7 linked regions of the Cricetulus griseus genome follow. The protein of the gene in region 1 interacts with the protein of each later gene in a pairwise test. Links are inferred from orthologs where the notes say so. Each region holds a gene or a part of one and is shown in the gene's direction. Other genes may lie near its edges. The genes, in order: Fate1, Sec22a, Marchf5, Kash5, Inpp5k, Ccdc70 and Bik.

What was found.
Region 2: the proteins of Fate1 (region 1) and Sec22a interact in binary tests that used the Homo sapiens proteins (3 or more experiments, as listed by UniProt). The two-hybrid records come from large-scale screens. The link is inferred for Cricetulus griseus from reciprocal best matches to the Homo sapiens genes FATE1 and SEC22A.
Region 3: the proteins of Fate1 (region 1) and Marchf5 interact in binary tests that used the Homo sapiens proteins (3 or more experiments, as listed by UniProt). The two-hybrid records come from large-scale screens. The link is inferred for Cricetulus griseus from reciprocal best matches to the Homo sapiens genes FATE1 and MARCHF5.
Region 4: the proteins of Fate1 (region 1) and Kash5 interact in binary tests that used the Homo sapiens proteins (3 or more experiments, as listed by UniProt). The two-hybrid records come from large-scale screens. The link is inferred for Cricetulus griseus from reciprocal best matches to the Homo sapiens genes FATE1 and KASH5.
Region 5: the proteins of Fate1 (region 1) and Inpp5k interact in binary tests that used the Homo sapiens proteins (3 or more experiments, as listed by UniProt). The link is inferred for Cricetulus griseus from reciprocal best matches to the Homo sapiens genes FATE1 and INPP5K.
Region 6: the proteins of Fate1 (region 1) and Ccdc70 interact in binary tests that used the Homo sapiens proteins (3 or more experiments, as listed by UniProt). The two-hybrid records come from large-scale screens. The link is inferred for Cricetulus griseus from reciprocal best matches to the Homo sapiens genes FATE1 and CCDC70.
Region 7: the proteins of Fate1 (region 1) and Bik interact in binary tests that used the Homo sapiens proteins (3 or more experiments, as listed by UniProt). The two-hybrid records come from large-scale screens. The link is inferred for Cricetulus griseus from reciprocal best matches to the Homo sapiens genes FATE1 and BIK.

Annotation. Positions count from the first base shown.
Region 1 is NC_048604.1:3,690,464-3,695,225, reverse strand, and holds Fate1 (fetal and adult testis-expressed transcript protein), read left to right. Parts: upstream 1-1,537; coding exon 1,538-1,643; intron 1,644-2,138; coding exon 2,139-2,266; intron 2,267-3,189; coding exon 3,190-3,296; intron 3,297-3,593; coding exon 3,594-3,669; intron 3,670-4,041; coding exon 4,042-4,173; 3' UTR 4,174-4,588; downstream 4,589-4,762. UniProt on the Homo sapiens protein: Involved in the regulation of endoplasmic reticulum (ER)-mitochondria coupling. Negatively regulates the ER-mitochondria distance and Ca(2+) transfer from ER to mitochondria possibly implicating it in the regulation of apoptosis.
Region 2 is NC_048597.1:54,301,831-54,305,961, forward strand, and holds part of Sec22a (vesicle-trafficking protein SEC22a), read left to right. Parts: intron 1-2,216; coding exon 2,217-2,380; intron 2,381-3,452; coding exon 3,453-3,647; intron 3,648-4,131. UniProt on the Homo sapiens protein: May be involved in vesicle transport between the ER and the Golgi complex.
Region 3 is NC_048596.1:24,575,086-24,579,966, reverse strand, and holds the start of Marchf5 (E3 ubiquitin-protein ligase MARCHF5), read left to right. Parts: upstream 1-1,641; 5' UTR 1,642-1,741; coding exon 1,742-1,776; intron 1,777-4,881. UniProt on the Homo sapiens protein: Mitochondrial E3 ubiquitin-protein ligase that plays a crucial role in the control of mitochondrial morphology by acting as a positive regulator of mitochondrial fission and as an important regulator of immune response.
Region 4 is NC_048599.1:154,093,125-154,097,932, reverse strand, and holds the start of Kash5 (protein KASH5), read left to right. Parts: upstream 1-1,796; 5' UTR 1,797-1,874; coding exon 1,875-1,917; intron 1,918-4,808. UniProt on the Homo sapiens protein: As a component of the LINC (LInker of Nucleoskeleton and Cytoskeleton) complex, involved in the connection between the nuclear lamina and the cytoskeleton.
Region 5 is NC_048600.1:89,088,233-89,093,060, forward strand, and holds the start of Inpp5k (inositol polyphosphate 5-phosphatase K), read left to right. Parts: upstream 1-1,708; 5' UTR 1,709-1,980; coding exon 1,981-2,036; intron 2,037-3,949; coding exon 3,950-4,057; intron 4,058-4,357; coding exon 4,358-4,466; intron 4,467-4,828. UniProt on the Homo sapiens protein: Inositol 5-phosphatase which acts on inositol 1,4,5-trisphosphate, inositol 1,3,4,5-tetrakisphosphate, phosphatidylinositol 4,5-bisphosphate and phosphatidylinositol 3,4,5-trisphosphate.
Region 6 is NW_023276807.1:61,678,276-61,681,396, reverse strand, and holds Ccdc70 (coiled-coil domain-containing protein 70), read left to right. Parts: upstream 1-1,818; coding exon 1,819-2,490; downstream 2,491-3,121.
Region 7 is NC_048595.1:380,439,175-380,443,070, forward strand, and holds the end of Bik (bcl-2-interacting killer), read left to right. Parts: intron 1-1,535; coding exon 1,536-1,634; intron 1,635-2,128; coding exon 2,129-2,246; intron 2,247-2,682; coding exon 2,683-2,775; 3' UTR 2,776-3,156; downstream 3,157-3,896.

The DNA of each region.
Region 1 (4,762 bases):
TCTGTAAGGCTGTATCATCTCAGCTTCAGGGGGTCTTGCTTGATCAAACCATATTAGTCTTGAAGGAATCAACAGCTTTTCATTTTCTGTGGAAATACAAGCAAAACCTTTATTTCTAAGTACCCTGTCCTTAATCTTAAATTTTGAAGTTAGAACATTTTTGAAATGTATAAGTTGGATTAATTTAGCAGCATTTATAATCAAATGTATTTTAGCAGCAGTAAGTCTTTCCTTGGCAATCAAACAATTTAAAGAGAACAATATGGCATATAGTATCCAGATTCTCTGTGTATTTTCCGTCTTTATGTGGCTTTTTTATTACTTTATTTTTACTATCTTTCGTTTATTTTTTCTGAGACAGGGTTTCTCTGTGGAAATCTGCCTGCCTCTGCTTCCTTCAGCAAATCCTACCGGCGTGAGCCACCACACCCAGCTACTCTATTTCCTCCTGTTATTTTTTCTCTCACAAGCCTACATATATTTTTAAATGCAGTGTAAACCTTTAGAGGTTTTTCTTTATCTGGATCTGTCTGTATCATCTTGGGAGTGCTGAGTCCAAGGCCCAAGAGCGCCGGGACGGCGTGAGCCTATGGAAGCTGTTCCAATGCCTCTCAGCACCCTGACAGGGCAGGCTGTGGTGGCAGGTTTCCCTCATTCTCTGGGAACCTTGGGGCATGGGGTCATCCCACTCACTGACCCATTCCTTAAGGTTTGCACTTGATTCTTTCAGCACATTGGTTGAGTACAAGCACCTGACTGGGAGGAAGCCATTTTATTTAAAGTCCATTAGGGATAATAATCACAGCTGCAGTATACCTTTGCAGAAATACTGAGAGTTGAGTGTCTGATAAACTCACTGGGGATCAGAACCTGACTAAATTGACACATACATCTGGTCTAATCTGTAGAAAAACTGAGGCAGAGCTGAAACATACAGCAGGGTACACAAGCCCAGCATGTCCCTCTTGCCCCTCCCTGCTTCCTTCCCAGGATTCATATCAGACAAGGCCATCTACTTTGCTTGAAGACTCTGCATTGGAGGAGGCAGGATGTTCTGTACAGAGAAGCTCCTCTGATAGAGTGCTGTACCCTAGATTACTGGCCAGTCATGGGCTTGTAGAAACCATGATAAGCATGGGACCTGTCACTGCTTTGGGCACTTATGGATGCTTGGGCCGTATGCCAGCCCTTGTCTCTTTCTAGACCATGATGGAGGATGGGATCCTCCTACCCGTGAGTAGCAAAATCAAGGGGAGATGAATCAGGGCAGCTCACAAAAACAGTACCACTTAGAGCACTATCTCATCTCCAAGTTGCTTACACAGCAGAAGAGAAGGCGGCCACGAGACCCACCAACAAGATACAGTGGGAACTCAAGGTGCCAATCCAAGGCCTGAGCACAGAGAGGGAGAACTGGCTCCACCCTCTTGTGCCAGTATATCTCCCTCACATTTCTACCCCTGGAAGAGGCGAGCTTCCAAGTGTCTTCTCTGTGCCATCCACCCTGAACAACCTTACAAATGAATACCTGGTGGTGATGGCAGAAAGCCCTTCCAATGTCAAAGAAGGGTATAAAATGTCCATTTCTGAAGATCTAGGGACTGGAAACTTTGACCAAAGCCAAGAACAACCAGTGATGTCAGGTGAGAATCCCCTAAAAAGCCTGTTGGGTATAGTTAATCATGTGCGTTTACTTGTGCTGCTTCTACAACATCCCAGTCATTGTGCATGCTGTTTACTTAGTCTGGAAGGTTATTCGTTTGTTTTAGGTATTTCAGTGTTGATTTATGCTTTTCTTTTGCCATATTAGCTTGTTTTGGTTTTTAATCATTCATGAACCATTTACATATCTGAATTTACATGGATGGAAGATTTTATTATTGGTATTTCCTATTCTCTCATACATAGAGATGGTTTGTGTTTGGGATTTCATCTCTTGATCATTGCTCATGCTACAGAATCCTAGGCCCAGGGCCAGATTTTCAGTAAATACATACTGACCTGTTGAACAGATGGACAAATAGGCTGAGCATCAGAAGTGAATGGGTATTGAGTGATTTCTGCTGTTTTCAGTACCCAGAAAGTTCTGGTAAAACCTTTAAAGCAGTATTCATAGCAGTCTCTGTTCTTCTTTCTAGAAATGATGGAACGTGGGTCCCGGTCACTGGGAGGAATCCAAAGACGTCCAAGGGCAGAGCAAAAACCTGCTGGATCTGGTTCAGGCCAGTCATTTTGGAATGTGACTGGACCTCGTCCCAAGAAAGGGGTATTGACAAATGGTGGCTAGTTTAGGGTGGGAAGTTCTTACTTTGGGGCTCCTGTATTCCCATGGTAGATATAGCTAGAAGTTGATCATTAGGAGGAGGAAGCTTCCATATACCAATAAAGCAAATGAATGAAGGGTAGATCATTGGAAGGTTAGGGTTGTACTGTATAATGCTGGGACTTCAATGCTAGAAGTCTGCATGCCTAGCAAACATGTTGACTGGAAAATGCATCTATAGTTGACCCTCTACATTCCTAGGTCTTGCATCCATTGGCTCAATCGATCACAGATGGACACTGTCTGTGGGTGGAGGTGGAGTGATTACATCTCTAGAGAATACATGCAAGATGTTTTTCTTGCAATGATTATCTACACAATATAGTATAAGAATTACTTAGATGGCATTTACATTTTATTAGACATTATAAATAATATAGTAATTATTTCAATTATATAAAAAGATATGATTATGCTATATTCTAATATTATGACCTTTTACACAAGCAACTTGGGAATCTGCAGAGCTGCATAACCATAGTGAGGCGTTTATTCTAGAAACAGTCTCCATGGATACCAAGGGATGACTATACAATTCTTTATAAACTTCCAAGGTGTGAAATGATGTTTTCTTTTAAATTACTTAAAATCATCTTGAAGGTTTACATTCATCTTCAGTAGGTAGCTTGGGTTTTCAAGGGATGCCTGCATGTAAAAGTTCTACCAAAAGACAGAGAAGCCTGTCACTGCATTTTCCTTGGCACAGCACACAAGGCTAGAAGCTACCAATAGGCATGGTGTGTGTGTGGGGGGGGGCACAGGAAGATGAAATGACATCATGGGGCTCCTATGGGGTGTACTGTTGATTCATGCACAATGCGGTGCTAAAAGGGTGACTTGGAATGGTGTATCCTTTCTTTCTGTAGGGTCATCAGGTGCAGATGCCCCGGATGCCAAGAGATCACAGTCAGGTGGATGGCTATCTCCAGGAGTTTCCTGGCAACTTCCAAACAGGGAGGGTCCCTTATGAGCGGTAAGAGTTCAATTGTCTTGTTCCTAGCTACTGGGGGAGGAACAAGCAGAGGGTAGGGCCATAGGGACTAGTGAGCATCCGAGTCGAGAAGCAGATGTATATACTTGAAGTATTGGGATACTATTGCCTCCTGGCCATTTGGGATCTACGTATGCTTTGGCAAAGCCTCCGGCTTCTTTACTACACAAGGGAAGGACTGGGATCTTTATCCAAAAAGCCTTCAGGCATACCTTATTGCTCTGTGTCTTTTCTATGGCCACCAACACCTCTGAGCCATGTAACCTTTCCTTCCAACAGTCTGGAGGCAGATTTAGTGGCAGAGATTGGCCTGGAAGAACTCAATGGGCTGGAGATGGAAGTCATGAGAAGGCAGGTAAGCATCTGTTGTATAGTTGGAGGAAGCATCATAGTGCTTTGGAGTGGGTGATTTTGGCAGTTGTGAACAAAGCCACCCCCGAGTTTTCATAGCCTTTGTCCAAATCATATCCTGTAGCAAATGAAGTGAGGTTGGGCTCTCCTTTCTGTTCTTCTCAGGCCTCATGCCTTGAGTACCTCATGTTGATGTTCACCCTTGACTTTCCTTTATGCTGGAGATGCTGGACAGGAATTGGGGAAGAGAAAAGGATGTGGAAGGGGGAACAAAGATTCATTTTGGTTTTGGTCATATTTTCCCCCTACCCTTATGTCTTGCCTTTCTCATAAGAGTGATTCCTGCTCACAAGTCCTGTGTTTGGTCCTTCCACAGATGCAAGTGATTTCTGGGCGGCTGCGTGCCCTTGAGGACCAGGATGCCACGTGGCGCCATAAGGAGGCTGTGCTCTTTAGTTTGCTGGTCTCAGTCTGCATAGCCAACCTGTGGCTTTGGATGCGTCAGTAAAGTTTCACAAACACCACAACCCCATTAGAGCCATTCCTTTCTTTCGTCTTCCCTTTGCTTTCAAGGATGCCCTTATCCACGCCATTCTATCTCCCAGCAGCCCCCCAGGTAGCAGTTGGGTCATTTTACCCCTCTGCTTGGGCCTTCTGCCTGGAGATACGCTCACTCTATTGTGAGATTCTAGCTGCTGCGAGGCTAGGGAACCACTGGGTAGCACCATACAGGTATGCCTGGGTTGAGATGCCTCTCCTCTGGAGGAATTAAAGGATGGCACCAGCCCTGAAAGAAGCACTGACATAAACACCTAACCATCTCTGCTTTGTGGGCCTGGTCTCTGTAACCCAACATTGCTTTTCTTCCGTTCTCTGTGGGCAGGGTTTGCTTTTTGATTCCTCCTTTGTTTACTTCCACACCACTCAAGCCTTTGCTCAGACAACATGCTCAATAAATGCTTCATGACTGCAGCAAAACTTGGTGCCAGAAGTTCTTGACCTAACCTTACTTTTGTCAGGGTTGGGAGGTACAATAGGGGATAGCCCTCTGCTCCAAGACAGTGTGCCTAGAACTGGGTTGCTGCTATTGCCCCAAG
Region 2 (4,131 bases), on another chromosome or scaffold:
GTGCACCATGCACCAACACACACACACACACACACACACACACACACACACACACACACACACACACACACACACACAGAGCACACAGCACACAGCACACACGCATGCACAAATAAATCTTAAATTCTTTACAGTATTAGGAGAGGAAAAAGCTCACTGGGATGGATCAAGCGGACAGTACAGATTGCTGTGATTAGTAGGATGTAGCACACAAGTGGGAGCCGTAACCTGAATGTTGTGATGATTTACTGTTCCTGGGCTTGACCAGCTGTGTGGTCAGTACAATAAAAGGTGACTCATTAAATGGTTAATTTATATTCCACTCACCACTTATTTATGGAAGGAAGGCATATGCTGTATTTTAGGAAGTTTTATTTCAGTGTAACATGTTTAAATGAAATGTTTCCATGCTTAAAGTAGAAGTTTTAAAGCACAGTTAACATATTATTTGGAAACAATTTCAAGCTTACAAAAATTATATGAATAAGAGAAGGCCTAATAATGTATTTCCATACTCGGCTTTGTGATATTTTCCTACCTATGTGTTTTTATTTTATTTTATTTTTTTCTGAACCATTTGGAAGAAACTTACAGATATTTCCTTCTCTCCTCGATACCCTGCCTGCATGCTGGAGAACAAATCGAAGGCTTGTTTATGCTAGGAAAATGCTCTACCACTGAGCTACATACCAAGGCCAGGCCTTCTTAACTATTCCAAAGTATATTTTCTAAGATTGGAAATAGGTTTTTACTTAACTGCATACCATAATCAGCTATAGTAAATTTAATATTGCTACTGTAACATACTGCCTGCTTTTTTTATCATTTAATCTTAGAAATATTCATTATAGCAGCTCAGCCCTCTCTGCCCAGGATCCAGACTAGGGATTATCACATTTGGTTGGCATGACTTTTTAGATTTCTTTGATTGGGAGCATTTTTATAATCTTTATTTCTTTTTTACAGCATTGAGGGTTTTTTGTTTGTTTTGTTGTTAAAGAATATGCCTCCCTATCTAAAAATTGGAGTGTTGGCTATTTTGATGTTTCTTTACTATTAGATTCAGGCTATACATCCCCAGTTATAAGTGATGTCTTTTCTTAGGTTGTTACTTGAGGGAGATGCATGTGTCCACTTGTCCCTCATTACTGATATTGGAATACCTTGGTCAACATGTTCTCTGATTACTACTATGTGATTTCCTCTTACAACTAATAAACAGTCTATTGGAAAATGTCTTAAAGCAGTAGTTCTCAACCTGTGAGCCAAGACCCCAATTGGGGGGTGGTCAAACAATTCTTTTGCAGGGGTCACCTAAGACCATCAGAAATACAGATATTTACATTATGATTCATGACAGTAGCAAAATCGCAGTTATGAGGTAGCAGTGAAAGTAACTTTGTGGTTGGAAGTCACTACAGCATGAGGGAACTGTATTAAAGGGTCATGGCATTAGGAAGGTGAGAACGATGCCATACAAATATGTTGGGGCACCTCAAAATTTCCTCCTGGGGAATTCAATATTCATGATAATTTTTCCTGATCCAGTTTTTAGATGGCTCTAAAATAGTGTTTTGTTTTTTTCCCCCGATTCCAGTATTACCTCCTCCAACGAGGGAGTTCTCAGCATTTTGCTATAAAACATGCTCCTTTCTCTCTCTTTTATGTATTTGTCATTGCTATGAATGAAAAAATTCCTCCTTTCCTTCCAATGATACATATAATTTCGTTCCCCCTCAATGTTGTAATTTAAAAGATTTGACTCTTGGTTCAATGATGATTTCAAGAGACCAGTGACCAATCCCAGTGGTCACCCGATGCATGCTAACTTCTGTGTATCTTTCCAGGGTCAGTGTCCATAAGATTTTTCTGAACAGTTCTTGACTTGAGTGTATAATTTCCACCTGATTTTGTGAAGGGTTGGCCTTTAGCTACTTGGATGCTTACATTTTTGTATATTCTTTCCCTTGCTTTCTACTCTGTGATGACTAGCTGAAATTTTAGATGTATAGTGTATCTACCTTTCTTACGCATTCACAACTTTAGATAGTATTATATGTTGGTTCCTTTAAAGTTGTTGCTGGAATATGTAATAAATGTTGATATCTTCATTGCTACTGTAGCAGCAGTTTATGGTATATAGAACCAGTCTTGTGAAGCAACAAATTACCTTGATTTAATTTGAAATTTTAAAACCAATGTTTTTTACACTGTAGTTTTATTAGCTCTCTGGGAGTGAGCTACATGATGTTGTGCACTGAAAATTACCCAAATGTTCTGGCCTTCTCTTTCCTGGATGAGCTTCAGAAGGAGTTCATTACTACTTATAACATGATGAAGACAAATACTGCTGTCAGACCATACTGTTTCATTGAATTTGGTAAGGGCCTGGTTTTGTTTTGTTTTGTTCTTTTCTGTACTCTTTATTATCCTGTCTCCAGGATAAACAATTTATCATCTAATATTGGGGAGTAGGGGAGAAACTTCTGCAACCTTGATTTTGATAGAATAGTTGGCAAAGGATCTATAGTTCTTAATTTGGATGTCTATTAGGAAAAAATGTGTTTGAGCTGTGAAGGAGATTGTGATTATTAGTCCAAAGAACGAATCCCAGAGGACAGATTCTCAATGAGAAGTTTATAAGCCACAGACTCCGTTTAGTGTTTATGTGCTAATCTTTTATAGTCTGCTTAATGTAGAACAGGGGTTGGCAAGCACTTGCTGGAAAAGATCAAAGAGTACGTATTTCAGGTTTTAAGGGCCTTCTTCTCTGCCACAACTACTCAGCTCTGATATTGCAACTTGAAAGCAGCCACAGGCAATACATAAATGAATGAGAATAGTTATTGTCTAATAAAACTTTATTTACAAAAACAGCAGTTCAGATTTGGCCTATGGGCAGTAGTTTGCTCAACCAGAAAAATCTGGTCAAAGTTATGGATTTTATTTTACATCAAAAGAGGTGAAATAGTAAAAATAAAATTCTGCTTGGAAGATATTTAGGAAATTTGTTTTATTGATTCTACTAAACTTATTCTGCAGAACATACTACGGAATGTTGTAAAAAATAAACAAGAAAACAGATTTATAAAAATATTGCTTATAGTGTAATTTGTATGTAATTACAGCTAATAACAGATTGCATATTTTATGAGATAAGAAAATAAAAGTTAAGGCATTGGTTGACAATACAAGTTGTTTTCTTTTTGTTTCTGTAATTCCTGGAAGTCCATATTTGGTTATAGTAACTTCATTCTAGAGTTTAACATTTAGAGTGTAAAACTGTTGACTCCATGATATAGCAACCTGCTAAATATAATATTGGAAATCCCTTCACAAATTGAATAGCTTTGAATAACAAACTTTATAAAATTTATACCCATAAACATCACACTCTCAAATGATTTAATTAACAAATGACTGCAAGGAAATTTATTTTTTATTTTACATAGATAACTTCATTCAGAGGACCAAGCAGCGATATAATAATCCCAGGTCTCTTTCAACAAAAATAAATCTGTCTGACATGCAGATGGAAATCAAGCTGAGGCCCCCTTATCAAATTCCCATGTGTGCACTGGGATCAGCCAATGGAGTCACATCTGCATTTTCTGTTGACTGTAAAGGTGCTGGTAAGATTTCTTCTGGTGAGTTTTGGATCTTAATTATTTTATTAACCTAAGAAAATAACAGAGGAACTCTTGAAAATGAATTGCTTTATTCTAGTGTTTTAAATCAATTACATGGAAGAATATGGAAGTTCAAAGCAACCCATTCTCCCAGTTGTTATATAAAGTAGGCTACTAAAGATTCGACTATTCTGAAAATTACTTCCAAATGACAATCTCAGAAGGTTTCTTTGCTAAGAAAACATTTCATTTCCTTGTAAACATTTTTCTAGAAATGTTTGTAGGCCTGAAAAGTACTTTCTATTATGCCAATAGGCTACATTTAGTATAAGAATCTTGACTATACCAGAAACTGCAAAAGTTGTAGTGGTTATTTACTCAGATCTCCCCTCCCACTGAAAGTACACAGGACAAAACTTTTCCTTAAAATGGAGGCCTCACTATTTCATAAAAGTATAGTATGCCATTGTTGGACTACTTATTAAAAATTTCCTTGTGGATT
Region 3 (4,881 bases), on another chromosome or scaffold:
CTGTCCTGGTTTCCCAAGTCTGGCATTTAGAGGCCCGATATTTGTAACAAAATGTAAGCACAGGTAAACAAAAATTACTAAACACCCACCAATCACAGCACTAAGAAACGCCACAGGTCGCCCAAATTACGCATTTGTTTAAGTCAACAACAGCTCCTTCCTCCCTCAAGGCTATCCCTCCGGCGTCAGAGAAGACGGGGGTGGGGGGGGATGATTTGTGACTTCTCCCTTTTTGATCCCTCGCCCTGATCCACCTGCTTAGAAGTGTCAAGGAAACTAGAACTGGTTAACGGTGACCAGCTGCAGAAAGAAACAAACGTCCCTGACAACCCACAGCTGAGCAAGCAAGGGCTGTTTATTCACCAACGCGTTCGTTCCTTTTGGGGGCTGCCGGCGAGCCCTGGAAGGATGGGCGACAGGCAGCACCTCGGAGAAGGTTCCTGGACAGGCAGAGGGGTCCTCTCGCACCCGCCACCCACGCCCGATCCTCTCGTCGCACTCGCGCGCGCGCACACACACACACACACACACACACACACACACACACACACACACACTGCACTCACGCGCACACACGCGCGCGCACACACACACACTGCACTCACGCGCACACACGCGCGCGCACACACACACTGCACCACGCGCACACCCGCGCGCGCGCGCACACACACACACACACACACACACACACTGCACCCACGCGCACACTCAGGCGCACAGGCGCGCGCGCACACACACACACACAAACACACTGCACTCACGCGCGCACACACACGCGCGCGCACACACAAACTGCACTCACGCGCACACGCGCGCGCGCACACACACACAAACACACTGCACCCACGCGCGCGCGCGCGCGCACACACACACACACACACACACACACACACACACACACACTCACGCACACCGGTGAGAACGGTCGCGTTACCCACCCGTCCGCCCGCCCGCCCCTCCGGAGCAGCCCCGCACTAAGTCACCCGGTCCCACCCCGAAGATGGGCTCTGACGCGGCCGAGGCTGACCCGAGCGCCCGACCTCCCGCCACCGCGGCCGGGCGTGCTGGACCCGACCCAGAAACTGGCCCTCCAAGCCACCTCCCCTCACCTGGCTCTGTCCCACCTGAGCGCGAGAGCTGAGGGGGCAAGACGCGGAGAAGGGGCGCTGACCTTGTTGCTACTGACAGCGGAGCGCCACATGCTGCCGCTTCCCGGACAGCGGCCCGAAGGACATTTTTCCCCCTGGAGGAAGGAAACGGGAGGGCGCCGGCCCTGCGGCGGCGGGCGCGGCGGCGGGGGTCCCAGCGGGCTGTGCAGCCTCTAGCGGGGACGGTCCGAGGACTACATCTCCCAGGCTGCTCCGAGCCGCCCCTGCGTCGTGACCCCGGCGCGCACGGAGGCGGTGACTCTTACCTCACAGAGGTAGCTCCTCCGCCGGCAGCAGCTCGGCGCCCCGGCGGTCCATGGACCGGAACCCCGGGCGGACCGGCAGGAACCCGGGCCGCGACCGCCGCCTCCCGGCCCCAGGCTCCTCCCCCTCGCTCCCCGCCGCCCCTGCGGACGCCCGCCGGCCGCGCACCGCCGCGGCGGGCCTCACGGAGCCGCGCCGGGAGGCTGTGTGGCGGGGCCGCGGACGCCGCGGGACTGAGGCCTACTCCGCCGCCTCTCAGTGCTATTGTCCCCGGGCCTGGCCCTGAGCGGAGCTGCGGGCGAGGGCCGAGCTCGCCGGCTCCGCGGAAGATGCCGGACCAAGCCCTTCAACAGATGCTGGACAGGTACGAGCAGGGCTGGGCCGGGAACCGCCGGCCTCCGTCCTGGGCCTGCCCATGCTGGCCTCGAGGCCCCGAGAGCGCGGATCCTGGCGTCCGCCGAGAGTTCCACTGCCCCGGGGCCGGGAGAGAGGCTCCGAGTTTGGAGATGGCACTGAGGGGAAGATTGGGCGAACGGTCTGGGTCCTAGACTTAGAAACTTAAAGGAGTGAGGTCTTCTTCTTCTGAAAAGCCTGTCTTTTGAGGTGAAGGGTCGCTGTTGTTAACCCATAGAATTAGTTTCTTTTCCCCACCTCCTCCCCCCGGGGTATGTTGTGAAGGGTTTGGCAGCTATGCCCTGGGAAGAACTAGATTATCTTCCTGGGCAATGATCCCTTGGACTTTTAAGCCTCTCTCCACAATGCAGGCATAGGCATTCTTTTTTAAAAGCCTGAGTTTCGGTTCTCCTTCCAACCCCCATCCCATCCCCGCCCCCAAGCCGTAAGGTCAGAATATCCACAAGGGAGCCTTAACGGTCACACTGGAGTAGAGGTTATGGAGTACAGCCACATGCATGCAACATTGAACACTTGAGGATCGTTGAGTTTCTAGAAACGTGTTGGCTCGTACTGGGACCAGTTGCCCTTTCTTGGGGGTCTCCAGCCCGTAAAACTCTTTGAGAAGTCAACTGCACCGCCCTCTGCTGTTTAAATTCCAACCAGTGACTTTTTGGAGACTAAATCCACTTTCTCTCCTAGGCACCAGCTTCTTTCTCTGACCAGTTGTTCAAATTCATGTTTGTGGTTGCTTGCAGCCCCAGATAGACCACCGGCCACCCTGTTCAGCAGCCATTAACTGTTAGGATTGGGGGGTGGGGGTCACACAAAGCTCCACCCGAGAAGGCAATTCTCATGTTTTATACTAAATCCTAGGACAGGACTTAGCAGGTGTTCTGTTGTCAGAACTAATGAAGTTGTTGGTTTCTCCAGTGGTTTGGGAGTCTGGTCACTTACCAGGTTTTCCTTAGAGTTTATCATTATTTGACTCTAAGGTGTGGCATGCTAAAATGTGCCCAGAGAGATTACTGCCTGCCACATCGACTCCAGAAGGTATTGCATAGTTGTTTGCTCTGATGGCATTCCACTTTCACCTTCACGTGGTGACTTTTAAAAAAATCCTTAGGTTTAAATGTTGTCCTGGCTTGTCTTACATTCTTTAGAGATTCGCTTATAAGCCAGTGAGTACTAGTGAAGAATTTACAGAAACTTGGGAATTCCGGATGCCCTTTGCAGAAATGTATATATAAAATGTATTTTGCTCCTTTTCCACTCCACTACCCTAGCTCATCCCCCTCCCTAGTCACCGTCCTGTTTTCATGTCTTGTATGTGTTCCACTGTATTTAATTAGGATTGATTGCATAAGCATGGGTCTGGGTTATTTACAGGCGTGTGGGCAAGTTATCAGTGGCTACACCACTAAATTTACTCCCTTCTCCTCCAGCAGCCAATGTCCAGAGTTACCGGGTGGGGCATGGGGCTTCATGAATCCCTCCTCCATCTCTGATGTAATGTTGCTAGGCCCCATCTTGTGCAGGTCTTACACAGGTAAGCACAGCTACCTGTGGTTCATGAATCCACAGCACTCCTCCTCATCTCCCAGTTCTTACATTTGTTCTGCCCCCTTCCAGTTTTTTTCTTTTAGAAAGCTTGAAATTTTTATTATAAAATACTGAGGAACAAAATCTAAGGTTATATATAATTTATGAGGAATATAAATACAACTATTCTTGCTTCCACGATACTCAGTTTTTATAGTGCTGGGACTTGAAGCCACAGCTTCATGCATGCTAGGTAAGCATTGTAAGGCTGAACTACATTTCCATCCCTTACTTAATACCGATAATTATTCTGAATATGTTCTGTCCTCAGAATAACTTACGTATGTGGTGATATATCATTTATGATTTATTAAAGCTTGCCTAGGGATTCAGAAAGTAAAGCAGCCAGCCACTAGCTGTCATCTATAGCTCAGGCTGAAAGGGCTGATCCTAGAGCTCTTCACCAAGCCTCAGACTGCTGCCTCTCCTCAGTGTGGCTGGAGAATGAATGCATGATACTGACTACTGAAGACCCTGCTTCTATCTTCTATAGCCGGCTAGCGCTGGGATTAAAGGCCTGTGATCTGTTACTCTTTTAGAGTAACTTCAATCTCATGTGTTCCTGGGAAGCCTTGAATTCACAGAGATCCATCTACCTCTTAACCCTGAGTGCTAAGATTAAAAGGTGTGTACCACCACCTCCCAGCTTCTGGCTGCTGGTCTTAAAGGTGCGTGCCTGGCTTCTATGACTTATAGCTAACTTTGCTTTTTGAATCCTCAGGCAAGCTTTAATAAATCATAAGTAATATATCACTACATACATAGGAATTTCTAGATATTATCCCCACATTATTTTGTCAAAATATATATCCAGCTTGAAAGGAGACAAATATACTTAGAAAATTACAAGTTGTATTAAATATATATTTATACTAACAACATCTCAGCTACACTATTTGCTCATATACTTAGCAATTGCAGTTTTATGCTGGAATGTTAGACATCCTGTGAATATCCACAGTAATGTAATATACTTTAATTGAATTGTACCCATAAAATGGCTAAATTGATAAGTTTCATGATCTGTATATTTTACCATGGAACCTTTTTTTAATGAAGCAGAATTGAAGATTTTATTAAAGATATCTTAATATTGGCTTCAGTTAGCATGGGAGTTAAGAGCAAAGAAGTGAGCTGGGCAGTGGTAGCGCACTCCTTTAATGCCAGTACTCGGGAAGCAGAGGCAGACAGATCTCCGTGAGTTTGAGGCCAGCCTGGTCTATAGAGTAAGTTCAGGACATCCAGGGCTACACAGTGAAACCCTGTCTTGAAACCCACCCCGTACCCCCCAAAAAGGTGTTTAACTAAAGAAAAGTATATTTGAGAGAGTGGATGTGGGTTTCTCTAAGTATCGGTAAGAGGTTCTACAAGGGAAGCCGTAGTTCAAAACAAAACAAATTTACTTTGCATATGTGGAGGTCAGAGGTCAGTTCCCTTCTTTCACAACATGTGTCCCACATACCAAGGTCAGGTG
Region 4 (4,808 bases), on another chromosome or scaffold:
CACCTCAGCTTTAGGATTACAGATCTCCCAAACATGCCCAGCTACAATCTTCCAGAAAGTTTGAAATTTAACAGTTATATTGTGTTTTGGTTTGATTTGGTCTTGGTTTTTTTTCGAGACAGGGTTTCTCTGTGATGCTTTGGAGGCTGTCCTGGCACTCACTCTGGAGACCAGGCTGGCTTCAAACTCACAGAGATCCATTTGCCTCTGCCTCCCGTGTGCTGAGACTAAAGGTGTGCGTCGCCGCCGCCACCACCACCACCACCACCACCACCAGACAAAAGTGACCCTTATTTTGACTGACCTGGCTGTAACATAGGCAGGACAGCACTGTCAGTCAGGGTGCAGAGGAGGAAGTCCCTATGTGCACCGGCCTGTGAGAGTGAAGCCCACAGGTAAGAACCCAGGGAGCTGCAGGCCTCGGGGATGACATGCTGCGTTTCCATTGTCATGGAGAGTAAAGGACATGGAAATCACCTGGAGAGAGGAAAAATGGTTCAGTGGTTAAAAACACTTGCTCACTTCAGCTTGATGGCTCAAGTCTTTAATCCAGCACTCTGAAGCAGGTGGATCTCTGAGTTCAAAGTTGGGCTAGTCTTCATGGCAAGTTCCAGGCCAGTGAGGGCTACAGAGGGGGACCTTGTTTTGTTTTAAAAAACAAAGGCTGAAACAGTACTCTTGAAAATCCCAGCACCCATGTGGCAACTCATAACCATCTGTAACTCCAGTTCTAGGAAATCTGATGCCCTCTGGCCTCCAAAGATATCAGACACACATGTGGTTCATACACATGTAGACAAAACACTCGAATAAAAAATAAAAATAAACCTAAAGGGGGAGAAAGGCAAGAAAGCAGTCCTGATGAATCAGCTTCCTGATGAGGCAAAGAGATGACAAATTCAAGGCCAAGCTGGCCATATTAGGGACGTTTTGTCTCAAAATGAAAAGGCTGGGCTGTAGCTTGGCAGTAAAGTGTCTATCTGGAATTGACTAGTGGGGCTGGTGTGTGGTTCAGCAGGAGAGCACTTGCCTAGAATCCACCAGTGAAAGATTATTGACAGTGTGGCTCAGTGACAAACGAGTGTGGAGGCAGGGAGAGCAAGGCTGAAAGTGGTTCAGACGGCCAGCAGTCCAAATTCGGGATAAAATGGGCAGTCTCCAGGCAGTGTGGGAGCCAGTTCAGCTTGGTATTCAGTCCCAGGCAGAGTGAAAGCTGTTTCTAGATAACAAGACACAAAGGCAAGGCAAGTCCCAGGCAGAGACCACAGTAGGAGTAGTGGGTTAGAGTTGCTAGAAGATAGAGCATGATTTGGAGAGAAAGCAGCTGGCCCAGGCCACACTGTGCCTCTGTTGCCAGAAAAAAGCAGGCTCTGCCTCAAGGTGATGGGGAACCATGGCCAGGCAGATCAGCTCTGCAGCCTGTGGGGATGCACTGGAGCCTGGAAGGAGGCTGGGACGTGGGCCCAGGGAGAACAAGGACCCAAGGCAAGATTGAGGACGGCAAGAGGAGCACAAAGTGGAGTCTCTAGGACAGGCATGATGACTTGCTAGGTTACAGGGGAGAGAGGTGGCCACAAGCCCTAGGGGCAGCAGTTGACCCCACCCTCTTGTCTCCTGCTTTGATCTTGCCGCCTGCTCCCCATCCCATACCTCAAATCCATAGCAACAGGTTGGAGTTGGGATGGGCATGGCAAACAGGTTCTGAGAACCCTGGGGCAGAGATGGAGCAGTTTAGCGGTGGCTAGTCTGAGGAAGCCATTACTTTGCTTGTCCTTCTAGGAGCTGTCTGGGCAGGCTGTTCCTTTCCCAACCCTCCTATCAGTGGAGGAAGGGTGAGAGCTTCACCAGCTGCAACAGAGAAACAGGAGTGGTCCATGGACCTGCCAGAGGACCCGGCTAGTAGTTCCACTGCACAAAGTAGGTGTCTGCCTGGAAGAGGAGGAAGTGGGAGCTGCGGGCCAGTGTGGGAGCAGGAGAGGTGGCCAGGCAGCGTGGTCAGAAGCAAAGGATGGTGGGAGAAGTGTCGATTGTGTGCTTGCCACGTGTCTGTCCCCATTTGCTCCTCTCTGGAGGGCTATTGGGGACAGAAGGCTGTGCACATGGTAATATCCACACCATCCCACCTCTTCCCACCAATTCCTCCTCTGTTCAGATCGTGGGCTAGTGAGATCTCTTACTTGGGGTAAAACAGGTTCCCTGCCCCGTCTCTTCCTGCTGCACTTCTCTTCCCAACACTGGCATCTGTCTGTCACCTACTTAGTCTAAGACTCTCCCCTGGAGCATGGCTCCTCAAAACCTATTCTACTCCCAGTGTGTGTGTGTGTGTGTGTGTGTGTGTGTGTGTGTGTGTGTGTGTGTGTGTGTGTGTGTGTGTGTGTGTGTGTGTGTGTGTGTGTGTGTGTGTGTGTGTGTGTGTGTGTGTGTGTGTGTGTGTGTGTGTGTGTGTGTGTGTGTGTGTGTGTGTGTGTGTGTGTGTGTGTGTGTGTGTGTGTGTGTGTGTGTGTGTGTGTGTGTGTGTGTGTGTCTTACAGTGCAGGAGGTGAAATCCAGGGTTTTGTGTGTGCTAGGCAACCAATCACCACTGAGCTATGTTCAGCTGTGCTGACCTCTGGGTTTTTGGTTTTTTGAGACAAAATCTGGCTTTGAACTTTTCACCCCTCTACCTCTGTTTCTCAAGTGTTGAGATTACAAGCATGCTCTCCACCATGCTCAGCTCACATATATAACTTTTAATTTTTTTAAAAGAGAAAAGCTGGCAAGGGGCTCATATCTGTAGTCCTGGAACTGAGGGGCTGAGGCAAGAAGATAGAAAGTTAAAGGCCAAATCAAGCAGGTGATGCAAATGGTATTAACTGATTTTATTTAGCTTTGTATGCATATAAACTGTTTTCTGCATTAAGCAGCATAAGAACATGCTGAGTTACTCCTGTTTTCCGACATCTTTGAGAACTAGTATGTGATGTTTCACACTAACACTGTTCCATCTTGGCCTGCTCAAGTGCAGGCAGCCTGTGCCGACTGGTGCTGCTAGCCAGAGCAATGCCGGCTTCATTGTGGAAGCTCAGTGCCTTGTGGGCAGATTCAGATACGTAGGTGTGGGAGCCAGCACACATCAGCTCAGGGAGGAAGGTGCTGGCTAACCGACTGTCTTCTGTGGGCCAGCCTCTGTCTCTGTCTCTCACTCCTGTTCTCTTTCCTGCCTATCTTTGTCTCTGCCCTGACTCAGCAACTCTGTTCCCCAAGAAGCTCTCTCCTTCCTCTACTGTCCTGGTCTCCCCCCTCACCTCATCTCTGATTTCTGACTCTCCATCCCCTGAGGATGAGCTAGAAGGGAAAGCCAGCCTCTGATTAAGAAGCTCTTTCCTCTAGATAGTCAGTTGGGGTCACTGCTGGAGTATCTTGTCTTCCAGGCTCCTGGATGTTTACAGGCAGGCCTGCAGCTTTGCTCAAAGCTGAGATTTGCACATCAGCCTCAGGAGTAACCTCTGCAAATAGGAGGGTTTTCAGGCAGACCAGCATGCCAGGACTAGAGAGAGGGCTGCCTGGCTTACGGGGAATGACCGCCATCTAAACCTCGCCTGCACCAGCAGAGGGCGTGCAGCCACCAGGAACTAGGACCATAGCCAAGTCAATTCCTGAGACTGCCTTTGGGAAGGGAATAACTCAGCCACAGGAAAAGCAAGGGATAAAAGACAGAGATGGCAAAGTAGAGAGAAGGCACTAGGAACAGAGTAACAAGATGGAAGACAGGAGAAAACAGGATGGAGGGACACAGGACAGAAGCTGGACATGTGAGAGAGGTTGGGGAAGAAGTGGAAGAAATATCTCAAAAGAAGTAGAGCTGGGGACCCAGCAGAGGCCGAGGCAGAGGCAGGTGGGTCTCTGTGAGTTCAAGGCCAGCCTGGTCTATAGTCCAGCAGAGGCAGAGGCAGAGGCAGGTGGGTCTCTGTGAGTTCAAGGCCAGCCTGGTCTATAGTCCAGCAGAGGCAGAGGCAGAGGCAGGTGGGTCTCTGTGAGTTCAAGGCCAGCCTGGTCTATAGTCCAGCAGAGGCAGAGGCAGAGGCAGGTGGGTCTCTGTGAGTTCAAGGCCAGCCTGGTCTATAGTCCAGCAGAGGCAGAGGCAGAGGCAGGTGGGTCTCTGTGAGTTCAAGGCCAGCCTGGTCTATAGTAGTTAGTTCCAGGACAGCCAGGGCTACACAGAAAAAACTTTTCAGAAAAAAAAAAAAGATAGAAGCAGGGGCAGAGCTGTGAAGTGGAGGAGGAAGGAGAGGGCAGAAAGAGTGTCTTAGGGTAGTGTCTCTATGTATCAGTGTCCTCACTGGGCCACAGAGTCCTCCTTTGTTACACTGGATGATGAAGAGCAGTAGACCAGCTGAAGTCCACCTCCCCTAACTATCCTGGGCTCCTAGAGCCCTCCCATGGGAGCCAGAAAAGGTCCAAATCAAACTGGTGCAATGAGTCCTGAAGTGTCAGGGGGAGAAAGGGGATTCTTGTGCTGGAAGGCAACTGTGGCAGCTTCTGTTGCTCTGCCTCAGACTCATCTTTAGGAATAGCAGCTGCTGTGGTTCTGATGATCCATGAGTGCCTGTAGTTATGTGCCAAGCAGAGGCCCATTCTCATTCTATCCCATTCTTCTCTAGGAGGGAGGTAGCTTTCCTAGAGGACACTGCTGAGGCTCAGAGGTTGAGTCCTGAGCCTCCCGGGTGTATGGGGCAGGCTGCTCACTTCATCCTCAGCTCACACTCTAACTCTGCAGCCATATGCAGTAGGCATTCATCTCAGCAAGCCAGGCTAATGAAAGGTATGAA
Region 5 (4,828 bases), on another chromosome or scaffold:
TTAGTTTGAGAGGGAAAACAACAGGACAGGCAAGCTGTAAATCTTGGCAACTGTTTGAAGAAAAGACTAACCCTTTTGTGAGCAGCCACATGGTGAAGAGTGAAAAATCCAAAGCATCAGGAAAAGCGTGCCTGGGCTTTGGAAAAGAAAAAAATCACCGTTTGGAGGCTGAAGAGATGGCTTGCAGTTGAGAACATGTACTGCTTACAGAGGACCTGAGTTTAGTTCCCAGCACCTGCATCAGAGTTTACTGATGCCTGTAACTCCAGCTCCAGATGTTCCAAATCTCACCAGGCACCTGCACTCCTGTACACCGCCCCACCCCCACAATTAAAATAAAATCTTGTTTAAAGGCTGGCTGGCCTGCCATGGTGCCACAGGGCTTTAATCCAAGCATTGCACAGGCAGGTGGAGGTCAGTCTGGTCTACAGAGAATACTAGACCAGGTTCACTCACATCACTGCAAGTGGGAACAGACAACAGTCACTACTGCTGTTTTGTTTTGTTTTTATTTTGTTTTAAATTGTATTTTTCTTTAAGAGTAATGTGCACCACGGGCATGCCTGGTACCCAGAGAAATCAAAAGGGCCTTGGATCCCTTGCAACTGTATTTAGAATGGTTATGAGCCACTATGTGGGTAATGAGAGCCAAACCCATGTCCTCTGTAAGTGCTCTGAGACCTCTCCAGCCCTTACATTTTTATTACTGGAAGTCAGAGGACAACTTGGAGTGATTCCATCCACCCCAGGAAGGTGTTAAAGACTTGGTAACCAGAGGTTGCTCTCCCCCCCCCCCCCCAGTTTTGAGAAAGGATCACACCACAGTCCTGATGGCCTGTAACTCTTTTAAGGCAGCTCAAGCTGGCCTCAAACTTGAGTAACATCCTGCCTCAGCGTCCTGGAATTAGATACACACCACTACACCTTGTCCCAGGACATACATTTAAAGTAGCAGGATGCTTGTGAGTTCTCGAAACTGGGCGCCACTGAGTAGTTGGTACTACAGGTGAGACCCACCGTGCGGTGCTAAAAAGCAGGATCTTTAACTTGACTTTCCAGTGTGTGAATCTCATGGAGATTGTTAGTAAAACAATTCGGGAAACAATCTCTCTGCTTTCAAGAAATTATAACCAAAGACCTAAAGGGAATAAATCAAAGTGAGTCTGCCAAAGTAAATAGTGATATGAGTCCAATATACACTAAATAGGAGCCACGACTTGTGTGTCATTCACTGATGGCTCATTTTCCGAGCCCGGGAATCCCAGAATGTGCTTTGTATTCAGCAAAACTAGGTTCGAGCTGGGCATAGTGGTGCACTCATGTCTCGGCTCTGAGGTGGTAGGTTCGGCTTGGTCTGCATAACAAGCTCCCAGGACATAACAGCGAGACTGTCTCGGGGAAATGAAACCAAACGACGACCAGAGAGTCACTTAAAAGAATGCAAAGGTCCCAAGGAACCGCAGAAATTACTTTGAAGTGCGGAGTGAGGGAGGCCGAGCGGACGGACAGACTATCCTGAGCGTTCCCACGCTGCCCACTCCCGGATTCTGAGGGTAGGCAGACGACAGACAGAACTTTACGCCACGGGACGGTCGCCAGCCAGCCCGAGGCCGCGCGCAACGCTCCCCGCGCCCTCGCCCTCGCGCAAGGCAGGCTGGGAGTGCGGGGCGCCGCCACCCACTCGCACTGTGGTCGGTGAGGGCGGTGTGGCGTCGGGGGCGGATGACTCGCGTCTCTTCGTCTCGGAACCCATCTCCGCTCCGCCTCTGGGCGTTTCGCTCTGCAGTGGAGTCCCGCCTCTGTTTTCCCAACCGCGCCTCACACTCCTGAGCGCTCACGATCCGCCTCCTACGGAAGCCGAGGCACACAGTCAGGATCCGGAAGAAAAACAATTCGGAGGGAACAGTGCCGCTGATACTGGCCACCAAGGAAGGGCTGCTCCGGTTCGCACTGGCTGGAGCGAGGAGTCACGGCGTGGGAATGAAGTCGGCTGCGTGCCTACGGAGGCCGAGCACACCGAAAGTCTCTGTACTCAGGTGAGGACGCATTTATAGGCCGATCGGTTACTGGCGGTTCACTGTCTTCGTTTCAGTCTGATTTGTGGGGCTGGGCACCAAAAACGGTGGAATCAAGAGGACAGGCCTACAAGGCTGCCCTTGTTTGGACCCCCAGACTCTGCCAGGCCAATATTGAATGGGCTGTTAGACCTGATGCCCGTCCTAAACTTGGACTGCCAAACTGGTCACTGCAGATGCTTCCCAAGCAAGTGTCCTGTTGGTTTTTAAGAGCACACAGACAGTAGTGTCTAAGACATTCTTCCCTTCCGCTGTAGAATAGACGTTTTGTTCCTACTTTGCATCAGCAGAACATCATGGGGTCTTCTTGATCCGGTTATGATCTCTACAAATCCGAAATCAGATTTAAATAAGATCCTTTAGAGAAGTGAACCCTGGTCTCATGCTTGCTCTTTAATCACGAGGAACACCGCTAATCGTCCAATTGAGCGTAATCATGGTGCATGGATTCGCTGCTAATTATCAAAACTGAGAACATGGATGATCAATCCCGAATTTTATTCTTTATCCACTTAAAGTGCCTGGGAATACAAGAAGCCATTGAATAAACGGGTTACCTGCCTTAGTCCTCTGTTGGACAGCAGGGGGAGACTGTAAACAGATCAACTAACAGTCAAGAGAGCCTGAGAAGGTAGTTTTTGTATTATTTTGTTTATATTAACAGGGAGAGGCAGGAAGTTGCTTTAAGCTAGCCAAGAAATGTGTTTTACGAGTCATGCTTCTTAGAACATGTACCTCTAAGAACAGGGTCTGGTGGACAGATGTTTCAGAACAGACTGCCCTTCCCTTTTAGGATCCTCAGTATTCCTGGAACTCACAGGCTTCATTTCTGTAGAGTCTTGAGCTCCTGCTTGCTCTGTCCTGGGAACAGTGTGGGCTTCTTGGAGCATTGCTGTAGCAGTATGCTCACTCAAGGGCTCTACAAGTCTTTGCTTTCCTGAACTTGTGATGGGATGTCATGGTGTTTAAGAGCTGCTAATTATTTCTCCTGATACTCTGGGACTTGTCGAGAGCTGAGATTGGGATGTTATTCCCAAACTGATGATTTTTCCCAATAGACAGTAGACTGTTGAGATAGATACTTAAAATCTTGTTAGTTAGAAATTTGTACTTAGGCTCCATGAAGGCCTTGGTAGAATTTGTTGAGTTCCAGGGATCTGTAAGGTAGGCCATGCGGAAGGGAATGTGCTGTTTATTTTGTTCTTTTCTGAAATTTCTGTTCTTGTAACCCTGAGGCCTGTGATCAAGTACAATCAACCTCTAATACCTTCTTGGTGCTCTAGGAATCCATAGGGTGAGGAGAGGGAGTACAGAGTTGCTGACTGAGCCATAGAGGATCAATGAGGTGTAGATAGCTGGAAAGGCTAATGGGTTAACAAACTCCTGGCTGTCCATCTCATCATTTCCTCCTTTTCCTTACCAAAACTCCCGCATTCCCCCTAGCAGCTCGATGTGTCAGGTGCTGCTGAGGTATGGGCAATTATGAAGCTGTGTAGAGGACCCAGTTCAAGGGAAGAGACTCCTGGTTCAGGAGATGAAAGGGAAGGTGAAGCCTTTATAGTCTATTGCTCCTTTTCTTCTTTTCCTGCCACAAGATGAAGAAACAAGCCCGGAACCCTGGTATACAACTTTAATCCCAAAACTTAGAAGGCAGAAGCAGTGTGATTCCCCATGAGCTCCAGACAAGCCTGATTTACATAGGAGTTGGAGGCCAGCCAGGGCCACATAGTGAGACTGTGTCTCAAAAACAATAGACTAACAAACATACAGACACATTTCCCCGTGAGCACTGTGATGGAAACCATTAATAGGCCCAGGCTCCTGCCTATTCCTTAGCCTTCATTCTGTGACTTCATTTAATATCTTTTCTACAGTATACATGTTGTGACATGGAATGTGGCCTCAGCAGCCCCCACTGTGGACCTCAGTGACCTACTTCAACTGAATAGCCAAGACCTGAATCTGGACATATATATCATTGGGTAGGTATCCAAAGGACCCCTTGGCCCTCCATCTCTGTAGAGGGCTGATGTAACCTGACCTCCCTTCATTTTGGAGTATGAAGGTGAGGAGCTTTCATCCTCATCGGGTTTAGCCTCATGTGTCTTGGTCCTGGGTCAGCAATGGTCATGGATTGAAGATCAACAGCCACACCGCTAGGGAAGGGAGAAATCTTGGTCATCAGATCCTAGGTTTGAAAGTCTGATGAAGCCAGTACCAGATGTCTGTGGGAGAAGCAGTATCCTCCAGGCCTGGGAATGAGCCTGACTTGGAACGGTCAGTTTGCAGGAAATGAATTCTGGAATCATAAGCCTTCTTTCTGATGCTGCTTTTGAAGACCCATGGAGCACTCTCTTCATGGATGTGCTTTCCCGTCTGCACTTTGTCAAGGTAAGTTAAAAGTCTGTGGGCAATGGAGGAATGTGTGTCACCTTCACTGTCCCCCAATTGCTTGTATGGTGTGTTTCTCTTTTTCCCACTCAGCTCATTGTCTTCTGTGTTCCTCTTTCTTCCACTTAGCTTTTCATGCTCTTTCCCATTCATTAAAAGGTTTAAACCTCACACCACGCTTGGATCCGCTGGAACTCCTGCCCGCCTTGTGCTGTTCCAGGTTACCTTGGTCTAAGCTATGAGTCCAGTCCAGGGGTTAGTTTCACACCTAGATATCTGTCACCTTAGGAGAATTCCTAGTGGAAATGCTATAGGGCTCATTTACATCTTGGTGCCTATTCCTGTCCCACCCTCCAGTCTCT
Region 6 (3,121 bases), on another chromosome or scaffold:
AATTCAGTTACATTCATCCAACACTGTTTTACTAGCTGCCAGGCTACAGAGACAGCAGGAAGGCACATCCACACATAATGTCAAGGACGTCAGGTAATGGTAGGACACTGGCAGATAGACACAGAGAAGAAGGGAGAAACAAGATCTGAAGCCCACCCCAGAACGTGAAGGAAACCTTAGTGGGGACACAGCCAGTGCTTCGGTATAGAGGTCAAACTGTTCGGGTTGTGTCTAGAGAACTAACTATATGTCACATGGAGCAGAGTGGAAAGACAGAAGGAAGTAAAGAGATAGACAAGCACTGGGCAGTTGGCTTTGATTTTCAACCTATGGAGTCTTTGGCTGCTTGTAAGCAAGTACAGTACAACAGGAAATCCATTGGGGGGAGGGGCTCCACTGTGTAAGCAGACAATCTGAACCAACAGAACACCAGAGACCAGGCAGGCAGGAAAAGACATCCTCCCCAGAAGTGGTCATGGGAAGATGGAACAGGAAGTGTGTATCTCCAAAAGATGTGAAGGGTCAGAAATGATAGGGCTCGGTAGTTGAGGAAGAGTCTGATTAGGAGGAAATCAGAGGTGAGCCTCAGGTTTCCAGGTTGTGTTATTCGAAAGAGGAGAGGTCAACAGCCATATATACCATAGCCACCATCTTTTTATATACACATACACATACACACACGTATGTACACACACACACACACACACACACACACACACACACACACACACACACACGTGCGCGCACATGCACACAAAGGGGGGTAAGGGAAGGAGAGGAGGAGGCAGACAGTGATGGAGAGACAGGGGGAGGGAAGTTCTTTACTTTCTGATCCCATACCAGGAGAGAAAGAAAATCACAGGGACAATCTGGAAAACCTCCTGCAAATGTCTAATGCTACTTTACATTGTGGGGCTCTGGTGAGGACCACTGAGGACAAAGCCCAGCTTCCAAAAAGCACACAGTGGGATCTCTGCACCTGAGTGCACACACTAGCTACATTCAGCTTTCCCTACATGCACACTGTGACGGCCTTGCTGGATATCTGAACTATGGATTGTCCTAATACATGCTACCTTGAACATATGATAGTGTTTGGAGTCCTTATCCTCTCCCTTCCCTCTTCTTTCCTTTCCTCTTTTATTGCCCTTTCCTTCCTTCCCCCCTCTCTTCCCTTCCCTTCTTTCCCCTCCTCTCTTCCCTCCCCTCCCTTTCCCCTTCCTTCCCATCCTTTTCCTTCCTTTGCTCTTCTCTCCTTCCCTTTATTTCCCCTTCTCTTCTCTTCCCATTCCTTCTCATCTTCCTCTTTCCCCTCTTCTTCTTTTCTCTTCAACATATTTAGGAACATATTTTTATGTGACATGCATGCATGCATCCACCTCCCAAGCAAAGAAACAGGATACTGCCAGCGCCTCCGAAGCCCTTCTTAGGTGCTCACTAATTAGCTCTTAGTTGCTCCCCAATTGTTCAGCCACCAACCACCTTAAATTGTCACATCACCCTTATGTACTTATATTTCCACTTTAACACCACTGTCTTGGTTGGGTGAGATTGTTTGTGGGACACTAGTCCTTGAATGTATCACTGTATCAACCAGCTCAGAGCCATGGCCACCCAGCACTCTTCTGTATTAAATCGTGTCTCTCACTAATAGGACTAAGAGAGCAGTGGTTAAATTTTCCCACATCAGACAGAGTGCCTCCCATTCTCATGGACGTGTTCTCTGTGGTGTACTCACAGGGTTTGACCAACTGACCTGGACGTGGCCAACAGCCCTGACCTCCAACACAGCCACCAACCATTCCGGCTGATTGAAAGATGTTTCCCTTCAAGGTGAGCAAATGGATGGGGCTGGCTTGCCTCCGGTCTCTGGTATTGTCCTCACCCAGTATTCGTCAGAAGAAACTAATACACAAGCTGCAAGAGGAGAAGGCTTTTCGAGAAGAGATGAAAAATTTCCATGAGAAAATAGAAGACTTCAGGGAAGAGATATGGGATTTCCGGGGCAAGATTCGGGCCTTCCGGAGCCAGATCCTGGGTTTTCGGGAAGAAGAAAGACCTTTCTGGGAAGAAGAGAAACACTTCTGGAAAGAGGAAAAAACCTTCTGGGAAATGGAAAAATCTTTCCGGGAAGAGGAAAAGACTTTCTGGAAAAAATACAGAACCTTCTGGAAAGAGGACAAGGCCTTCTGGAGAGAGGACAATGCTTTATGGGAAAGAGACCGGAATCTTCTTCAGGAGGACAAGGCCCTATGGGAGGAGGAAAAGGCCTTGTGGGTAGAGGAAAGAGCCCTGCTTGCAGAAGAGAAGGCTCTGTGGGAGGATAAAAAGTCTCTCTGGGAGGAAGAGAATGCCCTCTGGGAGGAAGAGAAAGCCCTCTGGGTGGAAGGTGGTGGCTTCCAAATCCTTGGGGAGCAGAGGCCCCAAAATGGTCTGTACAATGTCAATGAAGAGCCGCAGTCAACAGCCTTCCCCCGTGGCCGTGCATAGTGAACACTGGACACACAGGGCCACGGGGTATAGCCATCACTGCTTGGGATCCAAGTTCAGAGTGACCCCATGTTCTAAAGGAAATAGACACTAATGTGTCTCTTTGCCATGAAAGAGATAATAAAGTCCTGGGGAGAGGTTTGAAAAAACAGCTCTTCAAGGAAGGTTGGCTGCATCCTCCCTGCCATGCTGTTTCTGTGATTCTTGTATCCCATCCTCCAGACTGTATCGCTGGCCACTAGGGCTGGCTCCAGTGTCCTCTGCTTGAATGGGGGTTTGTAAGGTTGTCTAAAGAAGACTAAGACAATGTCAGACAGAGACATACAGGGACAGAGGAGCTGTGACATCCTGCCTCTGTCACCCTGCAGGGGTGATCTCTTTACTCTGGCCAGTTTGGGAAGGCTGACTTGTGCTGACAGACTTCTAGAAGTCTGGCAAATTCCTTGTCACTCCTCAGTGACCCCATTGCCCACCAACCTTATGTCAGTATTTCTTTTTTATAACTCATCAGTCTGTATCCCCTACATTCAATTAATTATCTGCAGCTCCTCAGAGCACTGCACTCCGCCATTTTTACCTGGAATGCATCTTACACCTCAGCCCCCAGCTCACTCTTACTCTTTCGGGTAAA
Region 7 (3,896 bases), on another chromosome or scaffold:
ACTTCCCAACCCAAGCCAGATGACCTTCCGGGCTCCTGGCACTGTTGTCACCACTGTTAGAATCAGGAGTAGACCTGGGACACTGGATCAGTGGTGCAGGTGGCCAGGGCTGAGCTGGGCAGGACAGACAGCCCCTGAGATCCCCTCTGTAGGGACTTTCCAGTGAGCTATTGAGTCACTGGTGTGGAATGTTCAGGCCAACCCCAGAAAGGGCTTAATCAGGCTGGTTTCAGTGTGTGTATGTCTTAGTTAGGGTTTCTATTGATACGACAAAACACCATGACCAAAGAGCAAGTTAGGGAGGAAAGGGTTTATTAGGCTTACACTTCCATATTGCTGTTTATTACTGAAGGAAGTTAGGGAAGGAACTCAAACAGGGTAGGATAACTGGAAGCAGGAGCTGATACAGAGGCCATGGAAGGGGAGCTGCTCACTGGCTTGTTTCCCCTGGCTTGCTCAGCCTGCCTTCTCATAGAACCCAGGACCAGCAGCCCAGGGATGGCACCACCCACCATGGGCTGGGTCCTCTACCATTGGTCACTAATTGAGAAAATGCCCTACACCTGGATCTCACTGATGCATTTCCTCAACAGAGGCTTCTTCCTCCGTGATGACTCTAGCTTGTGTCAAGTTGACACATAAAATCAGCCAGTCCAGTGTACATGCGTTCACCACATAAGTGTGTGTCTTTCATTCCATTGGAGATCTTTTACGTTTTTAAAGATTTACTTTATGTGCCTGAGTGCTTGCCTGCAGGTATGTCTGTGCACTATATACATACCTGGTGTCTGAAGAACTCAGGTGTTGTATCCCCTGAACTGGAGTTACAGATGGTTGTAAATAACCACACGGGTGTTGGGAGTTGAACCTGAGTCTTCTGCAAGAGTAACAAGTGCTGTTTATTAACTGCTGAGCTATCTCTAGTTCCTGAGATTTTCTATAAATTGAAGGTGTGCACCACCATGCCTGGCTCACTTGGGAATTTGGTTTATCAAGTGTGGCTAGACAAGAGCCACATCTGGAGAGGGTGCAGATACAAGTGTTTCAGGACTAGGAACCAGGGGCAGGTCTTGGAACGGGAAGATAAACTGAGACCCTATAGGAAGCCATCTGGAGGGGGCTCAGAGCACCCCCAGTGCTCTTCCCTACCATCCACTGTTACCACCATGCACCTCCCCTGCCAGGTCCTCTACAGGGGAGGTCAGGTGATAGTCTTTCTGGGCTAAGTTATCCCTGGCTTCCAGGCAGGTTCATGAGACACTCCTAGCATTAATGCGTGTCTGATTTCCACAAGAGGGAGTCCCCTGTTGGCCCCTCCACCTGATGTCTCAGTAGTCTGTGGTCTGTCCTGTAGGGGAACCCTTTACTTCAAAGGGTACTTCATGGATGAGAGGGACACCAAGGTTTGCTACTGGCCCCCAGTATTCCACTGCCTCCTCTCTCTGGGCCTTGAGTCCCACAGGATTTGGGCTGGGTGGGTGGGTGGTATGGCCCCTCAGCACAACCCCACCAAACTTCTCTGTGTCTTCCTGCAGAAACCAAGTGGCCCTGAGGCTGGCCTACATTGGTGATGAGATGGACCTGTGTCTTCGGGGGCCCCGTCTGGCCCAGCTGCCTGGGATTGCCATGCACAGGTAACCAGCTGCCCAGGTGGACATGCAGAGCCAGAACCAGCACAGGGCTGGACTCTAAGGGCATCCTGCAAACCTTAAAGAAGTATAGGAGTCCCCGGACAAGCTTGAAATCCTTCACTTCCCAGCCCCCACCTGGGTCCCCAAGCCTTCCCTCTGGCTTCAACAGTAGATCAAGCATCACCCTTTGTCAAGTTGGACAGCAGTCCTGAGAGGTCCCAACTGCCAGGGCAGTGTGGGCTTGGCCCCAGAGGCAGCCCCTCAGTTGGTCTCCCAGGAAGACAGACTACTCAGGGTCCTTCAGGGTGGATGTTCCTTGTGGTCAGCTCCGGGCAGAGACCCAGAAGGCAGTCTGGGAAGAGATGACTTTCGTAGTGGAGAGAGTAGGATGTCCGAGGGGCACAGAGGCTCTGTGCGCCGTGCTGTAATGAGTCACACATGTAGGTGTCCAGTGTCTACTGCTACAGTAATCACCTTGCCCATCCCATGTCTTACAGACTCGCTGTCAACTACAGCCAGACGGGTGCCAGGGGGATTTTCAGAAGCCTGATTCGAGGCCTCACCAACCTCAGGGAAAAAATCTGGTCCTGGAGAGTCCTGACTCCTGGTACCTGGGTAAGACCCTTGATGCCTGTAGTCTACATTACCCTGCCCACAGGGCAGCCAGCAGCTCCTTAGCCGTGCTGTTTGGTTTGCCACAATCTCCATCCCTCTCTACGTCTTCCCCACCTCTTTCCACTTCTGCCCCATTCCAGAAGCCTTAGTGAGTGCAACAACCGTTTGGCTGGCCTCTGAACTCAACGAGATTCAAGTACACACTTAACAGTGCCTCTGGTCTCCGCTGCAGAGACCCTTCCTCTGGCAGACAGGACCCTCTCTCAGCTATGGTCTCAGGGCCACCTCCCAGCTCACCCCCACTGGCTGAATACCATATTCACACTGTCCCAGATCCCCCACTTGTGCATAGATGTTTGTTCCCAGTCCCCAAGAGCTGTCTCCTCACCCCAGGTGGTCCCTGGGCCTCACTCTCCCTTCCCTTTTGGTCTTATAGGTGTCACCTGACCAGGCCCGAGGACAGCTGTTTCCCATGGTGCTGTTGGTCCTCTTGCTGCTGGGGGAGGCCTTGCATTTGCAGCTTCAGTGAAGCCCAGCAGGGGCAGGGCTGGCCCCTGCTCCTCAACCACCCCCTAGAGGTGCCGGCACCCTAACTGTGGTGTTTTCTAACTGTCCCTTTTTTTTATATTTAACTCAGGATAGTGCTGAGATTTCATACACATTTTCTGGGTTTTTGTAAGGCAAATGAATTCACTATAGCTCAGGGGCATTACTGGCTAAATGCCCCTGAGGCCTGGCTGGCCCCTCTCTTGACCCCTGCCTGCCTTTTCTCCGCAGGCTGGTCCTGTGGCCACCAGTGGGGGGGAGTGCTGGCCACACCCCTGGCTTGTGAAGCCTTGAGGCACAGAATCTACTGGACTAGATTCCTTGGGGTGGAGAGTTCAATAAAGTGAATCAAGTGTTGTTTCCAGAAGTGTTCAATAAAGTGCTGTTTGCAGCCAGCCTCCCCCTAGGTCCTCTGGGGGCTGTCATAACACTGGATGTAGATGGTGGAGGAGGAGGGGTGGCCTCTGCCCCAGTCCTGTGCATTCTGCCTGCACCCAAGGACTATAAGCATTCCTCTTCCCCCAAATATGGTTTCTCTGAATATGTCTGGCTGTCCTGGAACTCACTATGTAGACCAGGCTGGCCTAACTCAGAGCTCTGCCTGCCTCTGTGCCACCAGGCCCAGCTCCACAGCACCATCTTGTCTCCTTCTGCCTGTAATCCTAATGGGGAAGTCTGCCCACCTCCTGTGTGTATGTGGGGGTAGGGGTGCAGGTCTCACAAAAAGCTATGGTGTTGGGGTGTGCTGCACAAGAAACACCGAGGGAGGAGGGCCAGACTCCCACCATGGGCTCAGTACCTCCCCCAGGCCTGCCTGTCCCATTCTCTTTCTAGATCAACCAAGGCCTCCACCTGGAACTTTGCCTGTTCCCATCAGACACCAAGCAATACCCCTCCCCATGTAGCTACCAGTGGCTGTGACTTCAGGGGCCACTTTCTTTGGTCTCCTCCCAAATGCCCTCATTATGTGTCCTTGAGCTGTCCCAAATTTCCCAGGTCTGGGTGGGATGCTTGTTGAGTCCCTTTGCAGTCTTGTGTCCCCAGTAGGTATCACCTCCCATCCTGTCACATTGTCACGGGCCTACAAATGATGCTCGGAAGAGC